Diceros bicornis minor: one gene and its partner. The protein of the gene in region 2 interacts with the protein of the main gene of each other region in a biochemical or structural test. Links are inferred from orthologs where the notes say so. Each region holds a gene or a part of one and is shown on either strand. Other genes may lie near its edges.

Region 1 (16,296 bases), on a different chromosome or scaffold from region 2:
GGAAGCTGCTGATGCTGTTGGAACTGGCCACTGCCCCAACCATTCGTGCTGTTGCTAGAACTGCTTCAGGTTACTGGAGCCCACAGATGCTGGTCGCTGCCACTGCCAGAAGCTTAAAAAAAAAAAGGGGGTCTCTCCCTCATTTCATCCCGTTTCCCACCAGTGCTTCCCACTGGCAGCATCTAACTGGGCCAGCTGGCAATGAAGTCTGGGAAATGCAATTCAGAGGATTCCAGCCACCTCCAACAGAGCAGTGCACTTAATGGCTGGAATGGTACTTAGCGCCAACAAGCCAATAACCAGCACATGGAAGAATTAAAGATTTGTTTTAAGTAGGAAAAACAATCCCATATCCTTTGAAATATATATTTTTTCTTTCTTTTTGCAAAAGCAATATGTTCCCATTGGGGAAAAATTAGAAAATACAAACAATAGAACATAAAAAACTTCCATATTCCCAGTTACCCAGAAACAATCATTACTAACATCTTGGTCTCTGTCTCTTTCTCTCTCAAAACAAGACTCTTACTCTACATTTGGTCCTATAGCCCACTGTACTAAATTTACGCAATAAACATTTGCTGGACATTTACTTGGTTACAATTAGCTCCCAGTGTGGAATATTTATGTTCTACCAACATTTTCCTACTATAAATATAAAAAAGGAATTGTCGCCTGAAAACGAATTTGCAATTTAAGAAAACAGTTATGAAGAATACAATTGTAACCTCCAATTTGACTATTATAAGATTATTTGCTTAGGTAGAAAGAGAAAACTAATTATTTTACACATAAGGTAAAATGCCAGGTCTTTTCTTTATCTTTCCTTATCGTTCATTTCCTTTGTTGGGGAGAAGAACGCTCTCAGCAATTTCAGAGCTGGAAATGTGCAGACTGGACCTGGGGAGGGGCTTTAGCCACAGACTGAGCTAGAACTGTCCCGCTGCCCCGTCTGTCTGGTCTCCGTGGAGTCAGACTTCTGAGGAGGAAGCTGGTCCCCTGGAGTGTGCAGAAGAGGTGACCCTGAGACAAGGCTCTTTAAGGGTAGACGCTATTTCTTATGGCTACAGGGCGGCCGTTTCTCTGCTGTTACGTTAGAACGCTTTGGACTACTAGTAGCTGAAAACCGTAACTTAAACTGGCTTTAAAAATTAGGAAATTTATTTTCTCACATAACTGGAAGTCCAGAGGCAGGACAGGCTCCTGGAAGAGTAAGATAAGCTGCTCAATGATGTCACCAAGGTCCCAAGTCCTTTCAACACTGTTCCGCCTTCCTCAGGGTTGGCTTCATTCTGAGACTGGCTCCCTTCGTGGTGACTAGATGGCCGCCAGAGGCCACAGAGCTGCCTGTTTCCTTTCTCCACGTCCAGCAGGAAAGAAAAATAGAGAGATCTCTCCCTTCAATATAAATTCTTCTTTATAGTTCGAGCAGACCAGTGGTTTTCAATACTGCTACACATTAAAATCACCAAGAGCACTTTATTAATTATTTATTTTATGGCTATTATTTCATTCTCATTTTATTAATTTATTATTTCTTGATGATGATGGTGTATTATTTATTATTTGCTGTTTTATTTTTTAAACTGCTGATACCTAGGCCTTATCGCTAGAAATGTTAATCTGTTAGTCTAGGGTGGGGCCCAGCTGGAGACAGTTTTTAGAAGCTCCCAAGTGATTCTAATGTACAGCCAGGGTGAATTAGGCTGGTTTAGGTCACCCGCCTATCCCTAGACTCATCGGCACCAGGGTAACACCATGAACTGATTGGCTTAGAAAAGCAGATCTCAAAATGTGACCCTTAACCAGCAGAAGCAGCTCCTGGGAACCACTGAGTTGGAAACTCTGGGGGTGGGGCCCAGCAAGTTGTGTTTTACCAAGCTTGCCAGGAGGTTCTGATGGATGCTAACGTTTGAGACCCACTGACTTAGACCAATCAGGCTCCTCTCTGGAGCTAGGGAGGAGGTAAATATGTGAACAGGAGCGAGGCCTGTTAGTACAGTGAAGCCCAGGGCACTGGAGCCATTAGCACCCCCACCCTCGCAGCGGCGGGCTGGAAGGGGAGAGGTCTGCGACCTGAACCCCAGAGACCCCAGGCTGTACAGAGAGAGCCTCCCAATGGTGCCACCAAGCCTCAGCCACCTCAATGGGCCGTTAGGATGGGAAGAAGGTGTCCACTCCTTCCTACCCTGGGAAATCTCTGGAAGTTTCTGTAGGAGCTAAAGGACTGAAAAGATTGATTTGGTATACACTTTCCTGAAAACATTGTGAAGTAATTTCAACCACTGTACAGTTTCAACAGGATCTTGGAAAAGAAAAAGGACATTAGGTAAAAACAAAGGAAATCTGAACACAGTAAGGACTTTAGTTAATGATAAAACATATCAATATTAGTTCATAAATCGTGACAAATGTACCATACTAATATCAGATGCCAACAGGGGACATTGAGTGTGGGGCATACGGGAACTCTGTATAAATCTTCACAACTTTCTTGTAACTCTAAAACTGTTCCAAAATAAAACGGTTATTTTTAATACGTTAAGATGTGAAATTCTAATGAATGGAAACACCTTTGGAAACAGCTTTATAAAATTAAGCATAAAAGATTCTTTAAAATACTCTATATTAGTAATCCCACCAATTGTTTTAGGAAATCCTCCAGGTAAATTTATTAAAGATAAGAGTTCATTCACCTGAGCAAATAGCCCATTTACCAAACAAGTTTGCTTATCAAGACTTTCCCAGAAGATTCTGTGCAGTCCCGATTAGCTCCCATCTTGAGGGACCAGATTTAAATTGAAAAAAAAAAAAAAAACCCAAAACCCTCCATATTAACATAAATTTGACACTGCTATATTTTTATGCTCGATGTCATGTTTTTAGCCAGAGAAAATACTTTTTAGACATTTTCAGCTTTAACAAGAGTTGAATTGGAAAATATTAATGAAGATCCCTGATATGTCACACTCCCTAGAATCTGTACACGGCCAGAATTATCAAAGAGCACATGAGAGAGGCTTAAACTTGCGCATATGCTTAGAAATAATTAAGAACTGATATAAAATGTCGCTTTCTCTTCATCCCCTTATCCCTGGAAAGGAGTAGGAATGCTGGACTCCGCAGGGAATGGGACATAATCAGATGCATCTTTCTCTAAACCCAATTCATAGCCGTGAGCTCAGGCATGAATTCCCTTCAGTATTCTCCTGTTTCACCAGCTCTATTTAAATTAAATGCACTTCCTTTGTCTTGAGGGGTGAGCCACAAAACCCAGTGGACTGAGGTGTGGCTTGTTACCAACAACTACTCTCAACAGGCTGTCCTTCACTGGATTTATGTGGGATTCCTGGGAACACTGGGCCATAATTGGAATGGAGCAAGGAGCAAATTCTAATTTGTAGTTTGGAAGATTACTCTTAATATAGTCAACTAAATAATTGATGCTAAGTTTGCTCATCTCCCTCTTGCACCAAGTATCAGTAAGGAAACCAATAATTAAAATTGTCATTGCAGGTGAGAGTGTTGTAATTAAAACTTATAACAAAAAAAGAGTACTTAAGGGCAAAAACATTGCCATGCCAAGCAAGTGGCTCAAAATGACTTTTTTCCCCTGATCTTACTACACTGGAATCTCTCAGATTTTGTCCAGCATTGTTGTACTCTCTAACTGTGTGACCTTGGATGAGTTCCGCAGCCTCTCCGTACCTCATTTTTGTCATCTTCACAATGGGGAATAATAATAGTGCCTATTTCTTAGCAGTGTTATAAGAATTGATAGAAGTAAGGTTTGTAACACTTTTAGCACAATGCCTGGAATATGGTGTTACAAAAGTGTTTGATAAATCAATAGATAAGATAGCCCTTGCCCATATTAAAGTCATTCAATGTAATGATAAACCTCTTGATGATATAGCATGGCAAAAACACAAAAAAGAATATTCAGGTGCCAGCTAGCAGGGAGGGAACCTTGGGCATGGCGGGATGTTGAAGAATCAGAAGAAATGTAGACAGTTTTCATCAGAAATAAAACAAGGATGTGATGGGACCCTCCCATATTATTGGTGGGAATGTAAAACGGTGCAGCTGTTGTGGAAAACAGTTTGGCGGCTCCTCAAAAAGTTAAACATAGAGTTACCATACAACCCAGCAATTCTACTCCTAGGTATACACCCAAAATAATTGAAAGCAGGTACTCAACTACTTACACGCACCTGCTCAGAACAGCACTATTCACAATAACCTAAATGTGGAAACAACCCAAATGTCCATCAGCTTATGAATGGATAAATGTAGTACATCCCTACAACGGAATATTATTCAGCCATACAAAAGAACAAAGTACTGATACATGGTACAACATAGATGAACCTGGAAACGTTATACTAAGTGAAAAGCTCACATAGCCTATGATTCCACTTATAGGGAATATCCAGAATAGGTAAATCCACAGAGACTGAAAGCAGATTGGTGGTTAAGGGGGCTGGGGAATTGGGGAGTAACTGCTTAATGGGCGCAGGGTTTTCTTTTGGAGTGGCAAAAACGTTTTGAGACTAGAGAGTGGCCGTGGTCGCACAACATTGTGAATGTACTAAATGCCACTGAATTGTTCACTTTAAAAGGGTTCGTTTTATGTTTTGTGCATTTTACCTCATTAAAAAAATGCATACACGAATAGGACTTTGTTCTAGTTGAGAAGACAAGCATTCCAGGCTGCCTCTTCCACTCATCAGAGACTCCTTACTTAGGAAAGCTACCTAATGTCCAGCCCCTCTGGGCCCCGGTTTCCTCATCTGTAGAAAAATGACGTTGGACTAGGTGACCACTAGGATCCCTTTCAGTTCAAATTCCAAGGCAAAGAAATTCAGCACCCTTCTTTCTCCCTGTCTCGTCACAAGCTTGAAAGTGACCGCATCTGTACTGCAGATATACGCTGGGAGACAATGTTGCTGTAATTCAATTACAGGGAAATTAATTTGTTTTAGTTATTAATATGAAAAGTATTTTAATATTCCTTATTATAATGACACAAATTACTGGACAAATAACTAAAACAAATGCACTTTAACAATTAGCTTGGGGGTTTTGCCACTCTGATGCTGAGACTCAGAGCCCCTGCACGGCTCCAGCTAGTCTGTGCCCCTCCGTGTCATCACATGCTGTGCTTTTGCCAGTCACCGTATCTCAGGCTCCTCTGCCAACGGCGGTGCTGGCAGCCCCAAGTTGACTTGGAGGCCCTTGATTGATGAATAGGTGCTCTTGCCAAGCAGGGATGGCAGCAAGGGACTGAATACCCTTCTAAACTACCCACACTTTGCAACCAAAGTAATCTAGAACAGCTTAAGCTATCAGTCACTAGAACCTGCTTATAGACCATTGTTTTAGTTCTAGTTCTAGACTAGTTAGAACTTTAAAATCACTGAAATATTATTTGAATAGTAAGCCAAGTTTACTCAGCCCTGGATTTAAAAGTCCTGGGTCAACACATTCATTCCGGGAGGTGAGGATGTCATTTTCTGCATTTTACTCACCGCCACCTCACCTGCTACTGTAGATTTCTGGTCCTCTGTAAATTCCCTCCTAATTTTTCCTAGGAGTGTCAGGTGTATCTACAAAGAAGCTTCAGCTAGAAACATTTCAGCCAGCTACCCAGGTTTATCTGTTATTTCCCTCCTTCCCCCCTAATTCCGGCCCTCTTCAGGGATGTCTCCTTCTGAGGTCTACAACAGTCCCCAAAGCCGCGAAAACCAAGCCACTGCCTACCCGGGCCCACTTTCAGGCTGCCTCAGACCACGCTTCTCCTGGTCAGGCCGTTATCTAAAGCGGCCAAAGTGGTTCCCGGCTATGAGGGGTTCAAGCAGAAGTTCAACCCCAAAAGGAGCTCCTCCTTTTTGGTATCACATCTCCATTTCACTCCTTGCTGCAAATGAAGAGTCCAGCAGCTTTCACCTCCTGCTCCTAGCACTCAGCATCCACCACGGCTGGATCCGAGACAAAGCCAAGAGACAAATACCCTGCAGGGCACCTAGCTGCCCCCTTCACTGGCCTTTGACGTTTTGTCCCGGGCCAGGCTAATCTGCCAGACACCCTCTTCTCAGTGAATTCTCTCTGGGGCGTTTCCCCCAGCCCTTCATGCAAATCGACTCTTCCTATGGACGAGCCCAGACATGCCTGGGTCACATGTGGAGGTTGCTGGGGCTCAGGGTCAGACACCAGGTTCCCAGCAACTATTTATTAAGACCTAGTAGGTGCTGGGCGCTGGGGGTCCAAGGATGATGGGCTCCAGTCATCATGGGACAGGAGCTGTGGGAATTGAGACGACGGTTCATTGAGGTTAGCCAAGTCCCTAGTTGGTGCACCTCCTGCAGAGAGGTCATACCAATGGTGCCAACTAATCACCATCTTGGCAGAGAACATCCTCTCACTATAACTAGAAGTTGCACCAAAGTTTCTTACTGACCCCTCTTCCTGAACATTCCTCAGGTTCCTATGCAACCGCGGGCCTCTGTCTGCTTCTTTCTATCATGCGGCAGCAGAGTCCTCTCCTATCCCACTCTTTGCCCTTGGTCAGGTCTTCCCCCCATCTCTCCTTTCCTATTTCTTCCCTCAGATGCAGAGAGGAGAGGGCGGTGTGAAAGAGAATAAAAGTGCAAGAGCTGTCGGGGTTTGTGTCCAAAATAAACAATACCTGTAAAACCTGTCCGTTCTTTTGTTCAACTTAAATGAAGAAGCTGAGTGCAAACTAATGTAAAATTAAACATATATAAATGGCTTTGCATGCAATTTGTGAATCTCTTTTTCCTGATTCTGATCTCAGGTGTTCCATAGGAAAGGGAATAAAAAAATCATAAAGCAGTCAGCTTATCTTTGGATAACTAAAAAGTCTCCTAGGTGGTATCCATCCCTCCCAGGTAAGTGCAGCTTCTTGTGGGAAAAGGGAGATGAGAGACCTAAAATAGAGTCTACCTTTTGGGGGACACACCTATACTGGCTGTTACAGGAGCATGGGATTAATTTTGAAGGCACACTTTTAGAACATCGTATTTTAGTAAGAAACTCGAAAGATAAGCGGATGAAAACGTCCTGGAAAGCAAAACACAGTGTTTTCAGGGTTCCATCAGGTAAAATACCCAGCCTTTCTTCATTGTGCACATTACCCCCCCCACCCCCGCCCCCCGCGGAGGACATGGGGCCTTGCACTCCACGTAGTGGGGCTTAGAGAATGTTTGTTAATTTTGGTTAAAAGTGGGTTCCTCTCAATCTCTCAGTGGCTTGAACCTCCTGACCTGGGTCAAACAGCAGAGGAAAGGGAGTAAGGAAAGGCACCCGATAAAGCTAGGAGATCTCTGTTTAATATATATGTTTGTTCCCGGGTTTATTATTTTGTGACCAGCCCAGAATGTGGCAGTAAACTATGCTGTTAATTCTATTTACATTTTTAGAGTTGGGATCCAGGTTTTCAAGTTTGTTAAGGGATTTTATGCAAAACATATGCAAATCGATAGCATTCTAAAAATTCCGTCTGTTCTCCAGCCCCTCCCCTCGTCACAAACAGGCGAGGCAGGCGCCGGCCTCGCGGGGCTCCGCGCGGAGCGCTAGACCCGGCGGGGCTGACGGGCCGGGGGCAGGGCTGTCCCTGGGGCGGGCCCGGGGCGGAGCCTGGGCGGGGCCGGTGACGCGCCCAGTCGGCCGGCTCCGGGGCTGGACCTCAGCCTCTCCCCGACTCGGGCCGCCGCCGCGCTAGTGGTGGCTCCGCATCTCCAAAAGGGGCCCTCCGACTCCTCGCTGGGCCATTCCGGCGCCGGGTCGTGGAGCCCCGCGCAACTCCTCTGGTCCCTGAACGGGATCCCTCCTCCCCAGAGTTGCGAGCAACTTTCCTCTCTCCCTGTCGCTGCGGTGGCTCGGGGACCGTAGCCGCCGCAGGTAGCTGAACCCGGGCCACGGTCCCCGCGCCTCGGCTGCGCGCGCGCGTAGGTCGCTCTTTCTCTGGGTGCACGCTGGGGGACTGGCGCGCTCGGCTCTGCGGGCGAGATGCCCCTGGGACACATCATGAGGCTGGATCTGGAGAAAATCGCCCTGGAGTACATCGTGCCCTGTCTGCACGAGGTCGGCTTCTGCTACCTGGACAACTTCCTGGGCGAGGTGGTGGGCGACTGCGTCCTGGAGCGCGTCAAGCAGCTGCACTGCAGCGGGGCCCTGAGGGACGGCCAGCTGGCCGGGCCGCGCGCCGGCGTCTCCAAGCGGCACCTGCGGGGCGACCAGATCACGTGGATCGGGGGCAACGAGGAGGGCTGCGAGGCCATCAGCTTCCTCCTGTCCCTCATCGACAGGCTGGTCCTGTACTGCGGGAGCCGGCTGGGCAAATACTACGTCAAGGAAAGGTCCAAGGTAAGACGCGCACGGGCGCCCCGCTGCTGCTGCAGCCCGCGGGGACCAGGGACATTCGGTGTCGGTGGTCTGTCGCCTTCGCAGGGCTGAAAGCGAACTGTAGTTTTTAACCAAGAAGCAAGAAGTCAGTCTGATTCTCCCCTTTCCCATTCTCCTCTGAGCGAAAATCCATGCTAAGGGTCTCAGGTGTATAATTATAATGACCTTTTCTGTTAACTTTGAAATAATGGCTCTGGTGGGTGGTACAAGCCGGACAAGCGGCGACTTTTTGATCTGATTCTAAGACATGGAGGTTCTCAAAGGTCCAAACGACAAACAGGGTATTAGAAACACTGTGTATAATCTGAGACACACGTGCACTCATGATCTTAAATGTCTACTTAAGTCACCTAATATTGCCCTTTCATTGTGTTCAGAGCAGATGCCCACAAAAGCACTCTTAAAGAATTCTGGAGACAGTGTGATTTTGCAAAGTGGCATTTGGTTTGTGAAGTTTGGCAGGTGCAGAGGAGTTTGACCTGTGAAAGAGTCAAGCTCCTCTTCACTTTTGAGAGCTGCCCTTGGCTTGTTGCACCCGGGACACTATTAGATCATTTACTTGACTGTGAAAATTCTCTGCTGGTACTGAGCCCTACACCACCAACTTCGCTTTCCTAACTATCCGTTGATGGGAAAATCCACTCAAAACAGCCAGGTGAGTGATCAGGAGAGGGTGGTCAAGCACCTCGGGAAAGAAACTGTGTTTTTGTTCTCATCGCCAGAAGTGACTCCCTGGGTGGTAATTTATCTTGGAAACGTTTCCAGGTAGATTGGCAGAAATATGGGAACACGTAGTACCGTGATGTTGGTGCGTGTACATTACTTTGGCATAGTCGAGCTAATCGGTGTCTTTCTACAAATGATAATCCAGCCAGTTTTCCAGCGGCAATTCTGAGTGATTTGCGGACTGGTCACGGGGGCACTCAGAACTGTAGAAACTTTCACTTTAACACAGTGAGGCAAAACATACTAGCATGAGAAGGAAAGTGAGCAGTCACCTATGTACCCTTCTTTAACAATATTTGTGGTATTTCTCAATTTAAGATTGATCCTGGGATAAAACATACCATTGTTGTCTCATAAGCTGAGAGGAACGCTCTTTATTAAGTGCAATTGGTGAAGACTGGAAATGTGTAGAGATGAAGGGAGTGGGTGAGTGGAGTAGGGGAGAAATAGATTGCTGCACACCTTTCAAGCCAGGAGGACATGAATAGAATATCTGAAAGCATCGCTATTAATCAGACGCAAAGCAAGCAAATGTGAAAAGAAAATGCTGCTTTCTAAATTTTACTTTGATTTGGGGAAAATTCAGAGTTAGCTGGACTCTGTAAAAGATTGACGTTAAAGTGTTTCTTTACTCTTCTTCCATCATTTTGGTGGTGGATAAGAAAGCCTTTTGTCTCAATTAGTTTTATTTTGCATTAAATGACCTTGCCTGTCTTGAGGCGGGGCGGGGGAGGGGAATGACTAGCCTCAGTGTTGCAGAGGTGCTCAGAGCTTCCAACCCGGAAGAGCAGATGGCTTCTTATCAGTTTTTTAAAGTTTCTTTTAAACAAGTGGTAGGAATTCCACATCCCCCCCACCCCCCGCCAGCATTCTAGGAACAGAATTTGCTCTGAGGGAAGTCAGAGTGAATTGGTAGAAAGAGGTCACTAGTATTTGAAAGTTAAGTATTTTTATTGAGCTTTGACTTAATAGACAGTGGTAGGGTTTTGGGCTAGAGTTTAACTCCACAAATTGAATGAAAAGCACTGTGTACGTCTGGGAGGGAAGAAAAATGATCTGTAGATACGATTCTTCAATTATGGATTATCTTCCGGGTCAAACAAGTAACTTTTCAGTTAACCCTTTCAGAAGGTGACTGTAAATCGAAAAGAGAAAATTCATCTTTTGTCCACTGAAGAGACATCTGCCTATACCGAGATTTCCAGCTTTCCTTTGGTAGTTTTGGCACAGAGCTCTTCATTCCTGCCCTTTAGAAAGATCACCTCTAGATTGGGATATTCCCTGGCCAGCTAGAACCAAATGCAAACCAGGCTTGAGCAAACAATTATTGTAGTGAAAAATAAAAAGAGTTTGATTTGTTTGTATAGAGAAGTCTCCTTAATAATGTTTTGTGGCCTTAGGTCTCTTGTATGAAGTTTATTACTAAAGCATTGTAGAAACGCTTTCCAGATTTATATTAGTTTCACCCTAATTTAACCTTCTTATTTATTTCTCTTCCCTCAACTGAGTGCCTTGCTCTGTGCTGCTTGCCAGAGTAGTGATATAGACCTGGTTTTCTGCTGCATCCTTCAAGCAGGTTTTCAGTAAAAACTAATTTTAAAAGGCAGAATTTGTACGTTTATTTAAAAAATTTATTTGTAACTTCTTATTATGGAAACTTTCGAACATATGTAAATGTAGAGGGGCTGGTATAATGAACTTCCATCACCCATTTTCATGCACATTTATTTTAGACCAGTTGTTTTAAGGTACTTTAAATTTCTCGGGGTTATGCTTATTAATGTATTGATCCTAATTGAATATTTTTTTTCCTAGACTTTTAAATGTCATTGAATAATGTAATCATGCACTTTATCTCAAAGAAGCAAAGGCATTGGGAATAAAATAGGAATACACACTAGATCTAAAATTGAAATTGTGGAAGCTTATGGAAAGCAATATTAAAGTGTTCCCCCTTGCTGCCAAAAAAGTTGTTACTGGTCAGAGTTTATCTACCTCCACTTTGTTGGAGAAAAGTCCGAGGGTGCGGAAGCCCCTCTGGGGAAGTAGTTTCCTATAATGTACAGCAGTATGGCGCCCCCTAACTGCAAGCATGATCACTGCTTTCAGACTATTAAAAGATTTCTTATCTGTTAACTCCCTTTTGGAGAATTTAGACCGTATCCAAGATAAATATTGGTTATAATTTGCTCCTTTTGCTGTGGCTGCCTAGATCGGGAAAATGGCTGTTTTCCAGAGAACGTGTAATTTACAGAACCAAAAGTCCTTCTGCTTGAAGCATAGCACTGTAGACTAGCCAGTATTGTAACTCCAATAATACTAGCTACCTTTTCATAAGCGGTTTGCTCTGTCTGGAACTGTGCTAAGCACTTTGCAAACACTGTCTGTCTGACTTAGTCTTCAGAACCACAATCTTCAGCAAACTGAGTGATGAAATCATTTGCCCAAGGTCACAAAGTGGGTGTAAGAGGCAGTTTATAGGGGTTTAGGGGTTTGGGGTTACCAACCTTCTGGCCTTAGGTCAGTTGCTCAGTTTCACCAAGTGTAAAATGAGGGATAATAATACCTTCAAGCTTTTTAGGTGAAGGAGCATTAAATAAGATGATGTACACAAAATTCTTAGCAGAATTCTGAGCCTTCGTAAATGTTATGAGGCTGTAAGTGGGTGATTTGGGATGGAACCGAGTTCTGCCCGACTCCAGAGTTTGTGTTCTTGACTGTTATGCTCCTGCTTCTCATCCGTGCATGTATTCAGCAAGTGTTCACTCAGTGCAGGGCGCTGTGCAGGGGCTGGGGACACAAAGGTGAGCAGGCATGACCCCTGCCTCACGGAGCTCGCATACACACGTACTTTTGAATTGTAAGATCCTCTAGTTCACACTCGATTAATTCCGAGGCTTAACAAAGAAAAGGACAAAACCCAAACATTGAAGCGGGTCAGATAAGTACATTTGAGGAAGAAAACGGAGTGCTGTGCTAATGTTTTGCTACTGTTATTTGCAGGAAAAGTATTTGTTAACAAGGTTGGTTGTTAGGATCCCTGACTGGAGTGGTTCTGGACAATGGGGTGGTAGGGGCTGTATTGTGAACAGACAGGTGAGTCCTCCCCTGGAAACAATACAGAGACATGATGAAACAGCGGTAAGTTATGAAGAAAAGAAAATGTGTTGCGAAGCGGAGAGTTTGTTCCTTTGCCGTTTAGCAATAACAGGTTCAGCCCACCCTGGTCATGTGATGTCGGGAATATCCATTACTCAGTGGACCTTATCGTGGTTGCAAACTACTTCAAGCAAAAGTGGAATAATGTATTTGGAAGATCAGGATCTCCCTCAGACCCACGTGCAGGATATGCAATCTGGGTTCGCAGAAGGCTGGAGCAATGAACTGGGAACCAGAAAGTCCTTCCCATCCAGGACCCCTGGCGTGTTAGTTCTGCCTCTGGCCCCTTCTGGCCTCCCTCTGCTTCTTTGCCTGTGCTTCTCTGCTTTCCCTCCAGCTTTTGCTGTTTTCCATGCACGTGGCTCAAGGTGGCTGCCCCCACAGTGGCTGCTTCAGCCTCAGTTTGAGATTCACAGAGTCTTGATTAACATTCTAGAATCCCTGTTTTCACTCCCGGGGAGAAAGTATGATGGTCTCACCTTGGCTCAGGGGATCGATCAGTCTTGGTTGAGAGTGGGAGTGGGGCATGTAGAATCATGTCACAAATGTCGTTGCCGGGGCCTGTGAGAGGTGCAGTTCTAGAGCCCGGGGTTCTAAGAGTTTGAGGACTAGACACCATAAACGGTGTCTCCGCAATTCAAATCTTCAAAATCTGTCTGTGAATGAGGTATTTTAGGGGGAGGTGGCACTGAGTTTGAAGCACTGGAACATCTTTCTGTACGGATGTGAGGTTTATTCCTATAAAAGGTTTTGTATTTAAAAATAACTTAGCTCTTGGAGGAAGGAAATTAATCCAAGGAAATAATTTACAGAATGCAGCCTCGGTGACAGTGAAGCAAGTTTCTCCATTCGGTAACTTTTCACAGTGTTCTTTGTCTATTTTGTTGAATGATGCTTGGGAACAAAGAAAAGAAGGTGGGGGGTGTGTGTGTGTGTGTGTGTTTATAATTTCTTTTGTTCAATTTTGGGCCATTGGCCACTATAGGACAACCTTATCTCCTTGCAGTGAAGTGGGAAATCAGGAAATATCAATTTAATTTATTCATTCACAAGTCATTAAATGTCTTCCACCTCGCTGACCTGTACGTGAATGGGGGAAAGGAGATGGAATGTGATGATAAAACCATCTAAAGAATAAAGGGATTAAGAGGTACAAACTTCCAGTTATAAAATAAATAAGTCATGGGGATGTAATGTAGAGCATAGGGAATATAGTCAATAACACTGTCATAACTTTGTATGGCAACAGATGGTAACTAGTCTTAGCGTGGTGATCATTTTGTAATGTATATAAATATCGAATCAGTATGATGTGCACCTGAAACTAACATAGTATTGTATATTAGTTATACTTCACTTTAAAAAGAAAGCAAGCTGAAAGTTGAGTGGTATGAAACAGTTGTCACCGACATTGCTTTCTCTTTTTCTGGTTAAACAGTCTGATTTTACACTGATCAGTCATTTTTGTTTCTCTTCTTCTTTGGATTTTCTCCAGTTTCTCTATTTACTTAAAAATGAAGTTACCCAAATTATACAGGACTTTAATAATACAGGTTTTTAGAGCTGGAGAGGTATCAGAAATCACGTCTATCAGTCCCTCAATCATTCAGCAATGAAGTCATTTTTATGTTTGGAGAGACGAAGTCTCAAGAAGGGACAGGAGTGGGTCTTGGGCCTGAGCAAAGGTGCTTTAAAGAGAGGGGCTTCCCTGGCTGGGGTTGCTCTGTAAGTCAGGTAGACTGGGAGATGGGGGTGGTAGGTTAATTCAGCTGCATCAGCATTTTATTTGGGAATTTTAAATATAATTCTGACTTGAAATTGATAAACACCCTTAGGTGGAGTTATGTCACCTATCTGTGCATTCGACTTTTGGGGTGTTATGAATTATTTCCCTTTCTGACCTTACTCAGCTCAAGCAGAATTTGTATATTCTTCCCTGATTCCTGACTCTGGCTAGAAGAATTTCAAATTTTGTAAATAACAAGCAGCCTCACATGTTACAACTCCATTCTGAAAACGCACTGTGTATGGAAGACTTCTCCGATGAGCTTCAAGTTGGGGGTGGAGTTTAACCCATAATGAGCAGAGCACATCTGAGAAGCATCTCCGAGCACCCCAGCACCCTGCGTGTCAGGGTGAAGCTCAGGGCCCCTCGCCTGTGGGCCGTGTTTGCTGCTTTGGCAAGACCTCTGCTTTTGACTCATGTTTGCGGCCTCCAGTAAATTATGTGGCACTTTGACCACCAAGGAGCAGCTTGCAGGTCAGCACTATGGAGAAGGTTATTAATACTTTGTTAATTATGACAGCAACAGACTTGATGATTCCTTTGTAGCTGTTAACTAATATCGCTCTAAGAAATGGGTGTCATTTTTCTCTAGTGTTTGTCAAAGGTGCATGTTCTGACAGTAATGATAGTTCAGATGTATTCTGCTGGGCAGTTGCCAGGGGTGCCCCGAGGGTGGCCGAATCCAGAGGCACTGGAATTGTAAATGCGACAGACAAGTCATTTTATGATGCCAGATTAAGGAATTCGGCTTTGGCAGATGGCCAGGAGCCGTTGATTTGGCTCCGATTCAGAGCTATGTGTCTGTTTGCCAAGCAAGATTAGTTAGCCTGCTTCATTATACGTAGAATGGTACCCCGTTTCCTTCGATTATTTCCATCTTAAACCAGTATCGAACTTACCTTAATTTTGTATCTTCCTTTGATACTCATTTGTGGGTGAGTTCCTATTCTTGTTTGGGGTGAGCTGGTAGCGACTTGAGTGTTGTATTTTTCACCCCCTGTCCCCACCCAGTCCCGGCCTCACAGACACATGGGTTTGCAGTTGTCCAGTGAAAGTTTTCAGATCCTGTGCTGGATTCATGCGGTGCCTCCTCACCGTGCCCTCCCTGTGCAGTACAAGGTTCAGACCTCCTTATTAAGTCAAGCCAATGTTTGATTCTTTAGGAGATACGATGATCAGCGTTTCTCGAGTTCTGGAGTAAATGTACCTGTCTCATATTAAATATTATTTTTCCTTCCAAAATGAGGCCGAAATACTATTACCACATAAAAATAATTCCAAAATACAAACATTCAAAGAATATGATGTAATCTTGATTATTTGCCAGCGGGAAGCAGACAAAATGAAAAACTCAATTCCAGGTGTCAGTGACATCTATTTTTGGTTCTACTAGGGGAACTGGAAGTTGTTTTGAAGTATTCGGAGTAATACTCTTGGATCTGAGCACTGCTCGGAAGGAGTAAAGGTAGACTGTTTTCAACAGTCTGAACATCTTGTAGAGCTGGCTCTATGTTCTCCAGACACACAGAAAAGACGCTGCCTTTGCCCCTCCCTCCGCCTCCCCTCCCATTTCCGCTCATCTGTCTAGTCAAACCTGAGGAACGATTACTTAGAAATCTCAATACCCCACACAAAATTGACAGTGAGTCTTTTTTTTTTTTGGATGGCTTCTTTCCTATTCATATTGTTTTGCAGGTTAATTTGAGTGATTTGAGTGGATAAACAAAACCTCTTTAAAACACAAAATATTGAAGATTCAGGCAGGAACGTGCAATATTATTGGTCAAAATTTGGCCTATTTTGTGCTGTTTTAGCTTTGTTGTTTTGTTTCGGGTTTTCTGGGATTCACTGTGGAACCTCAAGTTTTGTCTTTTTTTTTTTAAACTAAGTTTTGTTTTGCTTTCATAGTAGAAATCCCTGAGGAGGGAAGTATTTTAAAGAGACATCCTTTAACCACAAATCACCTGCCTTTGGTTCCCCTTCTCCCTAGAATCCATTTTTATGTGCTTTTGCCTGAGTCTAAGTGATCCAGAACCCAGCTCTGATCATGTAGTCTCTGTGCTTAAAAAAACCCAACCGGGCTCTCTCCCCACTGTCTACTGTACATGCTGTGAACTTCTGAGTGTGTCATTTAAGGCCCTCCGCATCTGACCCCATCTGACCCCATCTGACCTTTCTACACTTAATCTCCCTCTGAT
Region 2 (16,402 bases):
TCCTCTATAACGCAGCCCCGACACCGTCTCTGCAGGGAGGTCCCCAGACTCCTCTGCTCCTAAGACTCAGAGGGGCTCTGTGGCACATCTCTCTCCACCGTTAGACTCAGAGTTTCAGAAGGACGAGGGCGGAGGGGAGGCAACGGCTGGCTAGGCAGACGGTGTGTAGGAAGGAGCAGGCTTGGGGCTGCTGGCGATTCCAAGGCAGATGAAAAGTTAGTGGGTAATCAGGAGGAGCCAACTGTGGCCTGAAGTTACTTCAGGGAGAAAAAGCAGGCAGGAGCATAAGCAAACGGAAGGCCAACCCCCACTGTGGGGGTGCCGGAGAGAAATGGGCTTGCACTTGCCGATGATTCCAAGTGAGAAGGCAATCTGGCTCTACTATCAGAAGCTTTTCACTTCTGCGTACACCCTGTGGCCCTACCATTCAACTTCTAGGAATTTATCATTAGGAAATAATTATTTTCTTATGCACAAGGATTCAGTTTAGCAGTACTTTCTTCTTTTTTATCACAGTAAGAAAACAAAATGATTTAAATGACCAAAAACAGGAGCTTGATTAAATAACTCAGATACTGTTATGGAATTGTAATACTATGCAGCCACTAAACATGACCTTAAGACTATTTAACAATGTGTAAAAGCAGTCATGATGTGTCAGATGAAAAAACAGGTTATGACAGAGTATGCGGATTCCCCATCTTACCTATTTCTTTTTTTTTTTGAATGAAAAACTCCACTGATGTAGAAGTAAGTTTGCAAAGACATATGCAAAAATGGTATAGTGGTTATTTCTAGGTGGGGGATAATAGGAAATTTTAATTTTTTATTACTTTCTACATTTAAAACTAATGATCATAACTTTAAAAATATTTTTTATAATGTGTAAAATAAAATACACACATTAAAAAATGCTGTGTAATCCAACTGGCTTTCCTTCTAAAAGCATTAAAGAAATGAAAATATGTCTCATCACTGGAAACCAATGCCAGGGCCACCTCTGCTGGCTCGATGGAACTCTCCATGATCAGGAGTAGCGAAGAGAGCCTCAGGGTGAGAATCTACGGAAGAAAATTAGGAAGACTCCTGTTTTTCTTCTTAAAGTTTATGCCTGGACTTGACCTCAGACACTGGCCAGGTGCTGTCAGCTTCTAACTGTGACATTTACTTAGTGTATACTGTGCTGGGTTGTGCGTGGCATTCTGCATGAATTAATAATGAGTCTGATCCTCACAACAACCCAATCATCTCCCCATTTGACCAATGAGCCACTGAGGCCTGGAGAGGTCACCAGCCAGTCCCAGTGGGGAAAGATGGGGACCTGGACCAGGAGGCTCGAGTAGGGCCTGCCCTCAACACAACCCGAGGAGGAGGTAACCTGGGGGAGGACTGACCCAAAGACACTACCTTTGTGGATTCAAAGTTGTGAGATTGGGCCCAGGCCCATGCATTTCACACAGGTACATCTTCCACCCACCTCCACAGTGTCTGTTGCTGAAAACCGGGAGGGGGTCACCTTTTATCTCACAGACACCGTATAGTCTAAAAATCATTACGTAAAATCTCTATCCAACTGGAAATGAGAATGACAATTTCCCAATTTTTAAGAAACAAATGGAGAAAGATGGGCATCTGGGGCAAAGTTGATGAAATTCTGCTAAAGAATTTTCAGTATCTCTCCTAAGCCTTAGAAAGTACATGCTAAGGTTTAATATAAAGATACATTTGATCAGGAAAATGTTTTGGCTTTCTTATTTTCCTTTTCAGGATGTCCAGAGCAGAATCACATTCGAATGCCCCATGTATGATCATGCTCTGCACGACTTACCAGCAATATACATGCCGGTATTCGCTTTAGCAAATGCATACCTACTATGTGCCCCTTTCAAAGAGTGGGGACCTGATGGGTTTGAATGAGAAATGCCATTGTTCACAAGTTTTGTCAGATGTGCAAGTCTGGCTCTTAGGACATTTCACATGAGGTCTCACCATAGTCCTATGTATATAGCACTTTATATGGGGCTTCAAGGGGCTTTAATGCAGAACGGGAGAATCTAACCAATCCAGACTGGGGACTTTATAGGCCAGACCTGCTGTACCTTTCGGTTTGCCTCCATTGGTTGTACTAAAGATCAACTTTAAGTAACAATGATTTACTCCAGTTCCAGGCCGTGGTAACCTGTGAAAAATCTTTGGCCAACTACGCGTAGAGTCAGCATTAAACTTTAGTCCCCCTCCCTGGCATTCCGGTGCTTCTGTTCTTAATTTTACACTCAAAAGCTGTATTGTCAGTTTCAGTCTTGACAATCTCAAGCCTCACCGTCCGTGTACATGGGCTCTGCCAGCACAGCTTTTATGAGACAACCTTCTCAACTTCAGCCAGGAGTGAAGACCACGGGGACAATTTCCAAAGTAAATGATTTGTGTCTTAGGAGGATTTTTGAGGTTAAGAAGAGATCTTTGAAATGGTTTTGGTAAATCAGCTCATCCCTTCAGACTTCTAGGTGATTGATCACCCATCACCTAGCAACCACCCTAATACCACCCACCTTCCATCTGATCTGGTGAAGCAAAAGCCCTCTGCAGCACTTCCACTCTGATCTCGGAGCGCCCACCAGCTGAGTGTTGTCTCCACTCTTTTTAACCGATGATCAGGCTCGGGGGGGACCCCGTTCTGTCTCCTGCCTTGTGCTCTTTCCCCTGGGACAGCTTTCTAGATTCTGCAATCTCAGAGCAAAAAGGATCCTTGGTATAATCACTTAATCACTGAGCCCAACTCTTTCTCTCTTTTTTTTTTAAAACTTTTTATTTATTTACTTTTTCCCCCAAAGCCCCAGTAGATAGTTGTATGTCATAGCTGCACATCCTTCTAGTTGCTGTATGTGGGACTCGGCCTCAGCATGGCCGGAGAAGTGGTACGTCGGTGCACACCCGGGATCCGAACCCGGGCCGCCAGCAGCGGAGCGCGTGCACTTAACCACTAAACCACGGGGCCGGCCCCCAACTCTTTCTCTTAAAGATAAAGACATTCAGATGCAAAGAAATAAACTGACGTGTACGAAGTCAAACATCTAGTCACAGGACAACAGTTCAGATCTCCCAATGGCCAGGAAGGAATATTCTGTCAGCAAAATAAAGATGAAAACAACATGAGCTCTGAAATCACCTACAGTTGTGACCTCTCAGAGTCCAGGGTTCATGTATGGTAAGAGTTAAATGAGAGCTTCCCCTCAGTAAATGCTCCCTACAGGAGAACCAGATCAGAGGCTGCACAGTGGCAGCTGGAATTTGGCCTGCAGACATGGTCGGTTTGGCCTGCAAGTGCTGGCTTTAAATCTGAATTTGGCCAATGTTAAAAAAAAAAGTAAGAAAAAATTGAGATATTTAACATTTTAAAAATCAAGATTTATGACTTTTCTTGAAAAAATCCAAAGGTCTGGCATGGCCACATCCACATTCCCTCCCGCCCCTGCCAGTCAGCCAGAGCTGAGCAGAAGCTGCCCTCTTGGAGGCAGCACGCAGTCTCTAGCTCCCAGCCGTCTCCACGGCTCCACGAGGGCTCCTGAAGCCCAAGGCCACGTGTCAGAGGCCTCGCTCCCTGCACACCTGGCCCCGCTGGTGTTCAGAGTCGTCTGCCCTGGACAAGATGAGTGCACACTGAGGAGCTTTTAACTTTCAACTGGGTTATCTGACTTGACTTTTTTTTATTAAGGAACAGAAACAGCTCTGTCACAATCCCACTGCGGGGAAGAGTTGTCTGACTGAGGCTTTCCAGTTCAGTAATTATTTGGAGATATGCTACTAGAAACTTGTAGAGAAGACAAAGAAAGAACGGAAAGAAAATGTATTGTAGTGTAAGTGGGCTGGAGTGGGTCAGCATTTCCCACCGTTGCGGAAAGAAGTACTTGGCAGATGTTAAAATACACTGGTTGGTGGGGCCACATGTGTCAACCTTCCCTTCTCCTCTACACCCATGCTCCACTGAGGTGGTGGGTTTGAGATATGGGGACAGGATGTCAAACTCCTCAGGCATGCAACAAGCTGCAAAATGGACTAAAAATACCACAAGTGGAAGACAGCCACGCTCTGATAGAGACCTTTTTTTTTTAAAAGGAGACCTAGGCTAATAGTGCATGCAGTGCCTTCTGTCAGAGGAGCTGGCAGCACTCTTGCCTTTAGTGAAGGGGCCCCACACCTGTGTAAGGAAGCTATTTGGCAACACGGCCACTTTGTGGCCAAGTGAATCATGAGCAGTTCAGAGCTGTGATGAAATCCTCCCAAATATTAGGTTTGTAGGCTATTTCCCCCCAATCTTCCCACTCCAAATGCCCTAAAAATTCCCACCAATGAACTTTATAGTGAACATATATGTTGTCTCATTGGGATTTTCCCATCAGAGGCCCATCTGGTGACTTCATCAGTCAGATGGTTCTGTCACTGGTGTCAACCTTCAGTTATGATTTGGAGCCTTGGAGTATGAGCTCAGACTCAAAATCCCCACATAGTAGTACAAAGGTGTGATGTGTACCTTTGGGGTGCAGGTCATGGACCGGCCATTGTGTGACCCTTACAAGTCACTCAACACTTAACCTCTCCACAGGCATTTGTTTCCTAACCTGCAAAGAAGAAAGGCAATCTAATAACAGATGACCCACACGAAGTGGCTGGCCCACAGAGAGCATCCCATAAGCATTCCACAGAGCTGCCCTACTTTTCATGGAATGCTAGAAGCTACAGGTTCTTGGAGGTCGAGCAGTCCGACTCCCTCATTTACAGATGAGGAAGTCCAGGCCCCCAGAGGTGGTCCCCCAGGCAAGCAATGGAGACCTGGGCACTGGTACTCTACCCAACACTGGTTTTCTCACGTAAGCCAGCCCATGAGACAGATCTGAGGGCAGGGAGGGGCAGTGACAGGGCAGTCCCTGTGATCTCCAGGAGCAAGTGCAGGCCAAAGGGCCAGCTACACAGACCTACTTTGTTGAAGCTGACATAGGCCTTAGTATGCTCTCATCCTCCCCAACTAACATACCTTGGTTGCTTGCTGGGCCTCTGAATACATCCAAGTTTGATTTATCCAAACTAATTGGCTGAGCTGCCCTCTCCACAGTTTGGATTACTGGCCAATCAAAGTCGGGACATGCATATTTCAGCTTTATAACTCGCACACACATGCATACACACAAAAGGACCCCACGATCACTTTCTTGGTTCCTGGTCTGCAGGGGAATGGTTGATCTGTTTAATTTCAGCTTGCAAAATGACAGCTTCGCCCAACTGCACCCTTACAGAATAGGGTCTTGGGCAATCACCGATATGTACAGAAACACTGGGTACCCCTGACTCCCAAGAGAACTATTCTTCAAGAGAGACGTCACTAGCATGTTACACGTTAGGAAAGAACATACGCTACAATAGGAACCAGAATCCAGATCCTGAAGGTGAAACTTCACACTGCACATAGCATATTATAACTGCTTCCTTCCCTCTCTCGGGAGCAACAGAATGCTCTTACGAGATGGCTTTTTAAAAATAAGTCATGGAATACTGACTGATATCGAATGCTCATTTGTGAACTGTAATTCATCTAAAGCCATTTCTTCTCTGGGCCACTGAAGGTTTGGGGGGAAGTGAAGGGCTGAGAAGATGGCTCCCCAGAAATCCTGTGGGGCATCTCCCCATCCCCCAACTCCCACAATATATCTCAAACACCAAATATCCACTCTTATGTCCACTATCACCAATCTTCTCTTGATCAACAGGCTGCCACCTTCTTCATGACCCTAAGAAAATTATGGAAATATTTGTCTAAATTTTACGAGAAACAACTCCTGGGCTGGGTGAATTAGTAAGCATTAGATGAGGACTGGTTGAAGGCAGAGTCATTGATTAAGGCTGACTGAAACCCAGAGCCCAAACACAGAGTCAAACCCTTATTTGAATATGCTATTTTAAAACTGATGGGTGGCAGGGCACAGACCAAATTAAATCACTCATTTTACTGACTTGAGTCCCCAGCTCAATTCTCTGGTGCATTATTTTTAATTTAAAAATAAGCTCTTGCCCTATAAAAATTAGCAGCACCAAGGAGAAATGCAGGACAGCCTAAACGGCCCAAGAGGCATAGCAGCTCCTTCTACAACAAAACTCTGAAGTATTAATGACATTATTCCCATTTCTAAGTTTAGAAAACAAACTTCATGGTATAACCCTAGGTTATAAGAGGTAATCTAGACAGGTATGTCTCTGAAACTGCTCCTGAAGTTAAGTGATAGATAGAGGGAAACGATGTTATAATATGACCACACGATGCAATACTCTGCAGCCATTTAAGATACAATGAAGTAGAGCTAGGTTTCAGACATAGAAAAATAGGTGTGATAATATGAATCTAAAACAGTAAGCTGCAGAAGCCATTTTTGGAGGAGAAACTTACATCTATGCCTGTGTATATATAAACCTTCCAGACACACACTGACATCTACGATTCTATACTCAGCTGTGAGAGTATATTTACACATAGCTAGAAAAAGTCTATGAAGATACACACTAAACCTAACAATGGTAGGAAAGGAGGCAAGAGGTCTTGGTCTTTCACTTCACTTTTCTTGTCTTAGTAGTTTGCATTTTTTGCAAGAGCATCAAGAACTTTTTAAACTAAATAAAAAATAAAGTGATGGGCTTCAAGGAACTGTACAACAGCTCCTGTGTGCCCTTCCTGTTAAATTCCTGATCAACTCTTGTTTTCACCCCACTTAGTAAGAAAACACAACTCCTCAGTCCTTGGAAAGCTAGGAGAAGGAAAGGCGTGGCTTGCAGGGTTTTCTTGTTGCTGGAGAAAAACAGGCTGTAGGGCGCCCTTTTTTTAGCTACACTCCCGAGGGCCCCCACGTGTCAGGGGCGCGCAGACGGCAGGCGCGGGGGGCAGGAGGAATCCACTACCAATCCTTCCAAGCCCAGTGCTGGTAAAGGGCGCGTTTACTTGCCCATTTCCTCTTTCCTCAATACCCTGTAGAGAGTCAGCTTCCCGGTCCAAGTTGTACTTGTGCGGCCAGCCCCACCGAGCACACCCGAGTACACGTCTGCAGACGACGCGGGCACCGCGCGGGAGAGCCGCGATGTGCCCTAACCACGAGCGCGTGCCAACTAGTCTGGGGTCAGCGCCCGGGCAACTGTCAGTCCAGGGCCACTCCCAAAGTGCACAGGTGGGCATGGGGGAGGGTAGACAAAGTGTACGCATTTTTTTTTTTTTTTAACAAGAGAGATGCCACCTGCCTCTCCGCGCCCGCGAGTGGGCTGGAAGACACGGGAGTTCCGGGAGGTGACCGGGCGGAGGTGCGCCGAGGGCATCTGGCCTTACCTTGCAGGGGAACAGGACCGCCGAGGCCACCTTCTCCATAGCCAGGTTCCTGATGCTGGGCGTCAGGGCGCCCCTGCACGTCGGGCAGCAGCTCAACTTCTGGCGGCATTGGTTACACACCAGGTGCCCGGCCTGGCACTGCAGGATGGGGGGCAGGACATAGTCAAAGCAGACCGGGCACTCGAAGAGCGAGGTCAGCTCGTGGTGCTGCGGGGACACCGGGCCAGCGCCGCCGCCGCCGCCGGGGCCCGAGATCACCGCCGCCGCGGCGGGCACCGCGGACGAGCCGGGGCCCGCAGCCGAGATGGTGGCGGCGGCCGGGGGCGCAGCCGGGGACGGGGCGTGCTGGGGCTGCGGCGGCGGCGGCTTGCTGCAGGGTTTGTTAGCGCTGGGGCCGGTGGAGGACGGGCGGCTCATCGCGCTCCGAACCCACCATGGAACTGCGGGCGCCTGCCTGCCGCGGGGCCGCCGGGGTCAGGGCTGCGCGCGCCCCGCGGGCGCCGGGCTCCGGGGCCACGCCACCGCGCCCAGCCCGGGACGGCGGCCGGGACGGCGCGCAGGGCGGGGGGGCTGGCCGCGCCGCCGCTCTCGGGCCCCCGCGTGCCCGCGCCCCTCCGCGCCCGACCCCGAGCGCAGCGCAGAGCCCCGGCCCAGCCGCTTCTGGAGCGGCCGCTGACGCAAGCCCCGGGGGCGCGCGCGGACGTGACGCGGGGACACGTGTGCGGCCGCCGGGCGCGGGCACCGGCAGAGCCGCCCTGCGCTGGGCGCGGCTCCGGCGGGGGACGCGGGGACCGCCTCGCGCCGGCGCTGCCTCGGGCCCGGCCGGCCGCGCCAGTGAGCATGCCCGGTGGGCGCGGGCGCGCGGGCGGCTTTTCCGGGGCGGGGCGGGGCCGCCCCTCGCGGAGGCGTCGCCCGAGTCCCCGGCCACACCCCAGGAGCCACGCCGACGCGGCCCCGGGCGCCAACCACAAGGGCGACTTCGGGCGGGGCGGGGACTGGCACGGGGGCGGGGCGGGACGCGGGCGCCCCGACGGGTCGGAAAGAGCCCGAGGTCTCCGCCTGGGGTGAGTCACCGGCCAGCGGCTCGTGGTCTGGGACGCGGCGTCAGGACGCGGGGCTGTGGGCGGAGCGGGCACGGGACCGTGTGTCGCGCTGTTCAGGGTGGGTTCAGGCCACCCCTTGGTCCTGCTCCCCAGGGCGGGAGGGGGCAAACGCTTGATTCCTTTTTCAGCGGACCTGCCGAAGGCTTCGTTGAGTTGAGCGCCTCTGACTTGCAGAGCAGGCCCGGGAGGGAGTTCACGGACAGCGTCTGCCAAAAGGAGCGTGCGAGATCACCTAGGAATGCCAGAAACGTGGGCTGGGTCGTGAGGCCCGGGAAGACAGTGGATGACTCTCCAGCACAACGGGCTGCGTCCTCGCCTTTGAGATACCGCCGAAGTCCGAGGCTTTGATGCGAGGTGTCGGCGCTCGCCCTGCACCCTAGCGGACGCCCGAGGGGGGTGACAGCCCAGAGCGAACCACATGTTTATTTAATGTGTACTGTGTGCTGCCAGTTAAATTGCTTTTCTACATACTTTGAGCCACTGACACTGGAATTGGGGAAGGGGGTACCTAGAGGGAATCGGATGATACTTTGTAGGAGAGACGGTGGAAGGGAACAGTCGGGACTGGGTGAAGAACGGTGCCCTCCGCTTACCATCTCTGTGACTTTGGGCAACTTCGTTAATTTCTCTGCGCCTCAGTTTGCGCATCTGTAAGGGTGGGATAAAAACTACCTATTTTTATAGGTGGGTAGTGAGCATTAAATGGGTTTGATAAATGCCGAGAACCTGGCTCATCATAAGCACTGCTTAAACGTTAGCTGTTATTTTTAAGAAATATTATTAGTGAATGTTTAATATTAATGAGTATTAGTGAATAAAATCTGTCCAAGAAATATGCTCTTAGAGCCCAGAAGAAATCAAGTTTAATCTTATAAATGTTATCTGGAAAGACTACATGCATGGAATTGGTGGAATTTGATCTAAATCTTGAAAATAATTAATAGAGGTGACGTCATTCCATCAATCGGGACATGTTTCCCCAGCATTTGTTCTGCACCAGCCGCTGTTTGGGTCTGAGAATGGTTCTGCTGCAGTTTCCGTTCTCGTAAGGGAGCAGCGTCATGTCCAGACACTCACGGGAGAGGATTTCAGATGCATGGGGGGGGGGGGGGGAGGTGACGTTGTAGCAGGAGAGAAAGCACGGTGAGAGAAGGCATCCGGGTGCGCTGGGACTTGGGGGGTGGGGGGCACATGGGAGCCTCAATTGGACTGATAAGATTGTTACCTCAATGACAAGGGTTCCCCACTGTAGGTTTTTGAAAAGCGCTGTGGCATGGCTGAATCTGAGTTTTTAGAAGGGTGCTCTGGAGGAATACAAAATGCTAACTAATATTTATTGAGTGTTCACTCTGTGCCGGGTGTGGGTGGTTCTAAGCACTTTGCAACAAGCTTACAGGATGGATATTATTGTTATCATCTCCATATTGTAGTTGAGGAAACTAAGACACAGGGAGATTAATTTGCTCAAGATTACACAGCTGATAATGTTGGAAAATGCTCCGCACCCTCCTTCAACTCCTAGTCTCTATCCCTTTCAGTCAGGCCTGACCGCACCTTACAGGCTGGTTAAGGCTTCAAGATTAGTGCCCTCCACAGTCAGAACACAGTTGCACAGCCTGTAAGCAAGCACTGAATTTTGTGGACAACTTCACGTTAATTCTTTCCTTAGCTGGTCTGGAGAGGAAAATAATTAAGTCATATTCTATTTATTCCATTTTTACCTTTTTCTAGCTTTAAGAACATGATAGTGACAACAGAAAAAAATCACCCACAGTTTCACTTTTATTGGAGATAACATTTTCCACTTTTAATTTAAAACCCAAGCAAGTGGAATTAATTACCAGAATTGATTTTCTTTCCCTCCACCTCTGGCCTCTCAGTGCAGGTGCCCCTCGTGTTCCCAGGGCTTACTAGCTCTCACTGGAGAAGCCGGCCCCCACCCTTGCCCTGTTGACATGAGCGTTCAGTGTTCCCCACCAGCTGGGCCTTGGTTGTTCAAAGAGCAATTTGGTTTCAGATGTGTTGAAACAAAGACCAGGAAAAGCAATCCTCTGTGGAGAGAATTTGTTTTTTTCTAAAAATACAACTAAGCCATCCACTCTTACCTTGGCAAATGCCCCCCGTGGTGTGGAGAAATTTCTCCTGGCTTCCTCCTCCACATCATTGCACTCCTGATTAAGTCGACCGGGATAATTTAAAAAACCAACACTCCTCTGGGCAGCTGCTGAAGGTAGGTGGACAGACCTGCTGGTGACCTCTCCAGGCTGCCGGGCTGGCCTTTCCAGTCCTTCCTCCTCCCTGGGGCTTTTGCATCAGAGAAAGGCGGCTGTTTGCACCTTGGGCACGTCAGCCGGAGCATCTCTGTCAGGGGCATGGGTGCAGAGTTGTGCGAGGTTTATTTGCCCTTGGGAGTGGCTGCTGTGGCTGGGCTTGTGTTTAATGGGTGACTTTGTTGCCTGGGGAGGGGGGCGGGGTCCAGCCTGTGTTTCTCCTGATTCGTGACTCATTTACCGCATCTGCTGCATGACAGGTGGGCCTCCTCCCCCCACCCACAGATGGCACAAGAAGGACACGTGCAAAGCAGGACTCCTCTCCTTAACCCATCTCCCCCTCTGTACTACCCTTTGAAGACTTAGTGGGGTGGATTGAGTAACCTTTCTTTCCTTAAAATGTCAGGGTGAGTCTTGTCACACAGCCCACAGGTGAGCCCCTCCTCTCACCTGAACTGCTGAGCATGATGCAGAACGTCCCAGCCAGGCAGACACGCTCTCGCCCTTTCTGTAACTTGCAGATTGTGTGGTTTTGCACGTTGGGCAACTTCTGCAATCAGGCGAGTGGTGTGCATTTTCAGAGCAGAGTGTGGTCAGCTTTTTCTCTTTAGATTTGGACATGACTCAGGAGCGCACTGAAGCTTGCTGCGTGGAAATTCTGATATGGGGAAAGCTTGTGGGAAATTTAGAAGCGACTGTGGGGGCCCCTGGTAATTATGGTAGGAACTTTTACCTTTACCACGTACTTTCGTTTCAGGGGTGATTTCCACATGCTCAAACTTCCTTTGAATAACTATGGGTCATGTAAGCAAGTGTTTCTTGAATAATCACCATGGAGATAGGACTGTATCGCACGGAATAGGTATATACATTTGTGTTATTTTTGTATCTGCACTTAGCGACTATTTCTCTAGTGCTCCCTCTGTGCCAGGTACTCTTCTAAGCACTTTACATATTTTAATTCTTTTAGTCCTCACAATGTCTCTTATAAGGTAAATCTTTACAGATGACAAAACTGAGGGACAGGCCAAGTTAGCTGTAGTAAGTAGCCTCTAAGATGGCTGCGAGGATCCCTGCCCCCAGTCTCTGCTCCCTGTGTGACAGCTGGACTGACTCCCTTAAATGAACTGAATACAGCCACAGAGATAGAATGTCACTTTCCAGATCAGGTTACAATAAGACTAAGACTAGCTCTCTCTCTGCCTGTCCCTCTCTCAGCCCTCAGAGGGTGAAGCTGGCTGCCTCACTGTGAGCAGCCCTGTGAAAAGGCCCACATGGCAGGGAACTGATGTCTCTGGCCAACATCCAGCCAAGACCCCAGGCCTGGCTGACAGTTTGATTGCCCTTGTGAGACCCTGAGCCAGAGGACCCAGCTGTGGTGACACACAGAAACTGTGAGATAATACATGTTTGCTGTTTTAAGCCCCTAAGTTTGGGGGTAATTTGTTACACAGCAATATTTAACTAATACACTTGTCCAAGATCAAAAGCTTGTATGTAAAAAGAAATGCAAAGTATAGACCCTCTACTTTTTCTCTTAAATTATTTTTATTATAATGCTACTTTATAGAAACAATCTAGGAAAAAAATTTTATGATTATTGTATGTAGCTATAAAAACAAAAGAAATTGGAATACCAAAAAATCCAGAATTCATGTTTTTATTTCTTATTTTGATACTAATTCATAATTTTAAAATGATAATTTCATGTGATGGAAGATGTGCTAAAATGAAACCATCATTTATTTTGGAAACAACCTCAATGTCTATCAACAGGAAAATGAAGTATGTAAAGGCCTCCTACAAAATACTCTGCAACTTGGAAAAGGTCTCGAAGACAAACTGCTATATGGAAAAAGCAAGATGCAATGCAGAAACCCCCAAACAATCCCATTTTTGTAAAAAGAACCACGCAAAACAAAACTCCTATTTCTTTACGTGCTAAAGAGGGCATAGAAAGGTCTGGAAGGAGACAGTGAACTGATGACAGTGCTGGTTTCCGGGGGGAGTATGACTGGATGTGGGGAGCTTTTGCTTTGTATTTTCTATATTTCTATAGTTCGTTTTCCCTTTTGTCTTCTTTTTCTTTTTCTGCAATGAGAATTTATTCATGTGTTTCTGTGTAAATTAAAAAAAAAAAGTGTTGTCCTTGGCTTTCTGGGGTTATTTTAGTGTGGGATTTATTTAGCTGTAGGGTTGGTGCCAAATGAATGACACATGGAGGATCAGCCAGCCAGCCAGCAGAGGTGGTCCTGGCACTACCATGAAGAGACCAAGAGCTTCTGTCAGGTCTTTGGGCCTGGGAGGTGACTTACTGAAATCGGTATTTTAATAAGAGGAACTCAAAGGCGGTGTGTAGGTAGAGCCTGGAGAGAAGGAAAGAGACAGGCCGGGGTGGGGGGTGCCTGGCGCAGCAGGAGGGCTTCCTGGGAGGAGTGGAAATTCAGTCCTGGGGCAGAAGTGAGTGGGCTGTGAGCCCGGCAGTTGTGGCCATTGGTCACTGACCAAGTACAAAGATTTATGCGGTCAGTACGTCACGTCTGGAGGTCACGGGTCAAATCAAACCCAGGCTTGACTTGTTGGGGAGTTAGTAGCCCAGAGGGGGAATAATGTTAACGAGAGCTCGCTCTTACACAGTGCTTACTACCTGTCAGACACCCTTTTAAGCACATCTAATCCTTACAAGAGGCATGTACTATTGTCCGATTTTATAGGTGAAGAAAGGAAGAATCTTGGAGGTTTAATCCCTTGTCCCAGGTCACAGATGATACTGGCAGAACCCGGATTTGGATCCAGGCAGTTTTAGCTCTGGTGTCTGTGCTCTTAACCACTCGGCTGTCCTGCCAGAAATCCTTTTGAAAATCTAATACCGTGTGATAAATGCCATAATAGAGTTGGGAAGAGAGTGCTTCCTGGACAAGTAAGAGGAAGATGTTAAGAAAACGAGACATTCTTTGAGTTGGGTCTTGAAGCAAGAGTAGGAGTGTGCCAAGCAAAGCGGGGTAAGGAATGCACTGGGGGGGAGGGGCAGGGGCAGTACACAGGAAGTGGGGGCAGTGCACACAGGGGAGGGGTAGTGCACACGAGGGGGAGGGGCAGTGTACACGATGGGGGAGGGGCAGTACACAGGAAGGCACGGGGCTCTTACAGCTGTTATCTACCCAGGAGTCCTGTCTTCTTGACCTTGTGCACTCCCAAATCAGACCCCTGCTCTCCTCCCTCTGAACTAGCTGCTGAGGTAGAGCTGCCTGCCAGGCCTCTCTCCCAGGACTGTTTATTCTTAGATCTCTCCCTGAGCGGGACAAACAACCTTTAGTCCTCAGCGCAAAGTGAGGAAAGGCAGAAGGGGGGTCCTGAGTACTCTCCTCATTGCCCTCTCCCCGCCCCGAGTCCCTAGGCCTCATCTAGGATCCCCCAGATCTTCATCTATGTAGGGCCCAACACAGAATGTGGATCACTGAGAACCAGCAAAGTTGATGTCACCTGAGGCCTCAAATAATACATTCCTCCTCTTCAACATCAATTTTGTCAGGTTAAAAATCCAATAACAGGCTGTCATTGAATCTGAGAAGAGAGATGATAATAAAAAGGAGACTCTGACTCCATAATGGAAAGCAGGTGATCTTTAAAATTGGCTTCTCCAGCTGTCTGTGCTACAGAAATTCAGAACAGGTGGAAAAGCCTGTGCTTGTACCTTTCTCCCCAGTTCCCGCCACTTCCCCGCAGACCTGCTCCTCCCCTTCCGCTTCCTTGGACTTGGTGAGTGGTCCTATTATGCGCCTGTTTGCCTGGCTGGGAATCAGGAAGCCATCCTCCCTTCTCCCTCCCACTGGCTTGACCTAGTTCTGTCCCTGCAGTGTCTCACACCCTGCCCCTCCATGCCATCCCTGCTGCCCTGCCTCAGTCACCTGGGGACTCTGCCACCCTGTCCCCAGCCTCCCTCCTCCAGCACCTCTTCTGCCACCTCTAAAGTACAAAATAAGTAACTCTGGCAAGCGAACTGCTGGATACGGTATAATGAGTACATGTAAACCGTTTACCTTATTGTTGCATTTACCAAGTGTAAAAGTAAGCGCTTCCTCTGTGCCCTGCTGTTTGGCCACAAGCCCAGCTGGGCAAGCAGTATGGGATAGGCTGCAGAGAGACCGAAGAAAAGACCTGGAGAGGGTGAATGAGACGTGTAGGTTTATTGGGAGTTACTTACAGGGAGGGCAGTGGTGGCTGGCTGGACAGAAGTGTGCACCTGACCCCGCCCCCTGAGAGAAGCTTGCTTAAGTAGGCAGAGGAACAAAGACTGTGTGCTTGCCAAGGGGGATGGTCCCTGTATGACCTGCATTCCAAGGACCAGAGCCCCCCCAGAGGACCTCTGTGTTCCCTCAGACCCTGTAGGTCTTTGTGCTAGGTATCCCAGAGAAGGAGCTGGGTTGGCCGAGGCCAGGACAGTTATCATCATGAGGGCTGGTGTGTAGCCCAGACAAAGGGCTTCCAGGACACATGGCTGCCGTTAAAGGGCCCCTATACCTGCCTTGGGTTAGGTCTCTCTAGGCCCTTTTGCTTGCGGAAGATGGAACTTATTTCAGACTAATCCAGGGGGCCTCACGTGGAGAACAGGGGGCAGCAGTGCTAACAGACCTTGACATTGGAATCAGGAACCAGAAAGCCTCCAGGAAGAGGCGACTTGTGCTCTCCAATTCTTCCTCATAGTCTATTTTCCTTCCTCTCTCTGCAAACTGGCTCTCACTGCATCCCAGAGCCCAGGATCAAATGTAGTCAGCCACACATCTCAAGTTTATGGTCCTCTCTATTCCAGCTCCCTCCCTGAGGGATGGGGCTCTGCCAGATCTCAGCTTCAAGCCCAGGTCTCAGGAGAGAGAATCTGATTGGCCCAGCTTAGGTCAGCTGATCGTTCTCAGTCTAATCAGCTAAAGCCAAGCCAGCTGGCTCCCTCAGTGCAAACATGGCTGCTGGTTGCCCACCGTTGTTGGACGTGGAAAGGATTCTGAGAAGGGGAGTTTGGGGCTGCCCTGATGCTCCAAAACTTGTCTATTATGTGTTGTAAGGAAAGACATGACCTCTGGCTTCTCAGCTCTTAAGCCCCATTGGGAAAATTGAGTGGTGAGTTGAGGTTACTTCAAACAAAAGTGAAATCTTTGATTTTACAGAAAAAACTTGGAATTTACGATGGAAGTGTTGATCTTGTCTTTAAGGAAGGGTAAGGCTTTGAGTTTTGGAGAGAATGGTTACTTCAAATAAGGATAGAAGGATCATCAGTTCCCAGCAGGAATGAGTGAGGGCAGTAAAGACTGTCATTCTCAGGGTAGGTTCAATTTTGAGTGATGGGAGTTGAGATTAGGTGGGTAGAGTGGGAACATTCATCGGAGGGATTTAAACACCAAATGAGCTTAGCTTTGCCTCATTAAGGACAAGGAGTTGGGATGGTTAAATGGAAACTGAGTGTGTTCTGGAATCAGACACACCTGGATCTGAGTCTGCCTCTCTGTGTAATTTATGTGACTTGGGTAGGCTTCCTAAGTGCAGAATCTCAATATCCTCATCTAGAAAATAGGAATGCTCGTACTGGCCTGTAGTGGGCATCTGTTGTTGCATCTGCCCAGCATCCGTCCCCACTCCTGATAAATGCTCCTTGGTGTCACTGTGAGGGACCACTCTGT

Evidence for each region.
Region 1: the proteins of SIAH2 (region 2) and EGLN3 form a complex in vitro, tested with the Homo sapiens proteins (2 studies listed by BioGRID). The link is inferred for Diceros bicornis minor from reciprocal best matches to the Homo sapiens genes SIAH2 and EGLN3.

The regions. Positions count from the first base shown.
Region 1 is NC_080744.1:15,199,825-15,216,120, forward strand, and holds the start of EGLN3 (prolyl hydroxylase EGLN3), read left to right. Parts: upstream 1-7,714; 5' UTR 7,715-8,031; coding exon 8,032-8,388; intron 8,389-16,296. UniProt on the Homo sapiens protein: Prolyl hydroxylase that mediates hydroxylation of proline residues in target proteins, such as PKM, TELO2, ATF4 and HIF1A. Target proteins are preferentially recognized via a LXXLAP motif.
Region 2 is NC_080741.1:4,376,699-4,393,100, reverse strand, and holds the start of SIAH2 (E3 ubiquitin-protein ligase SIAH2), read right to left. Parts: upstream 8,105-16,402; 5' UTR 7,775-8,104; coding exon 7,358-7,774; intron 1-7,357. UniProt on the Homo sapiens protein: E3 ubiquitin-protein ligase that mediates ubiquitination and subsequent proteasomal degradation of target proteins.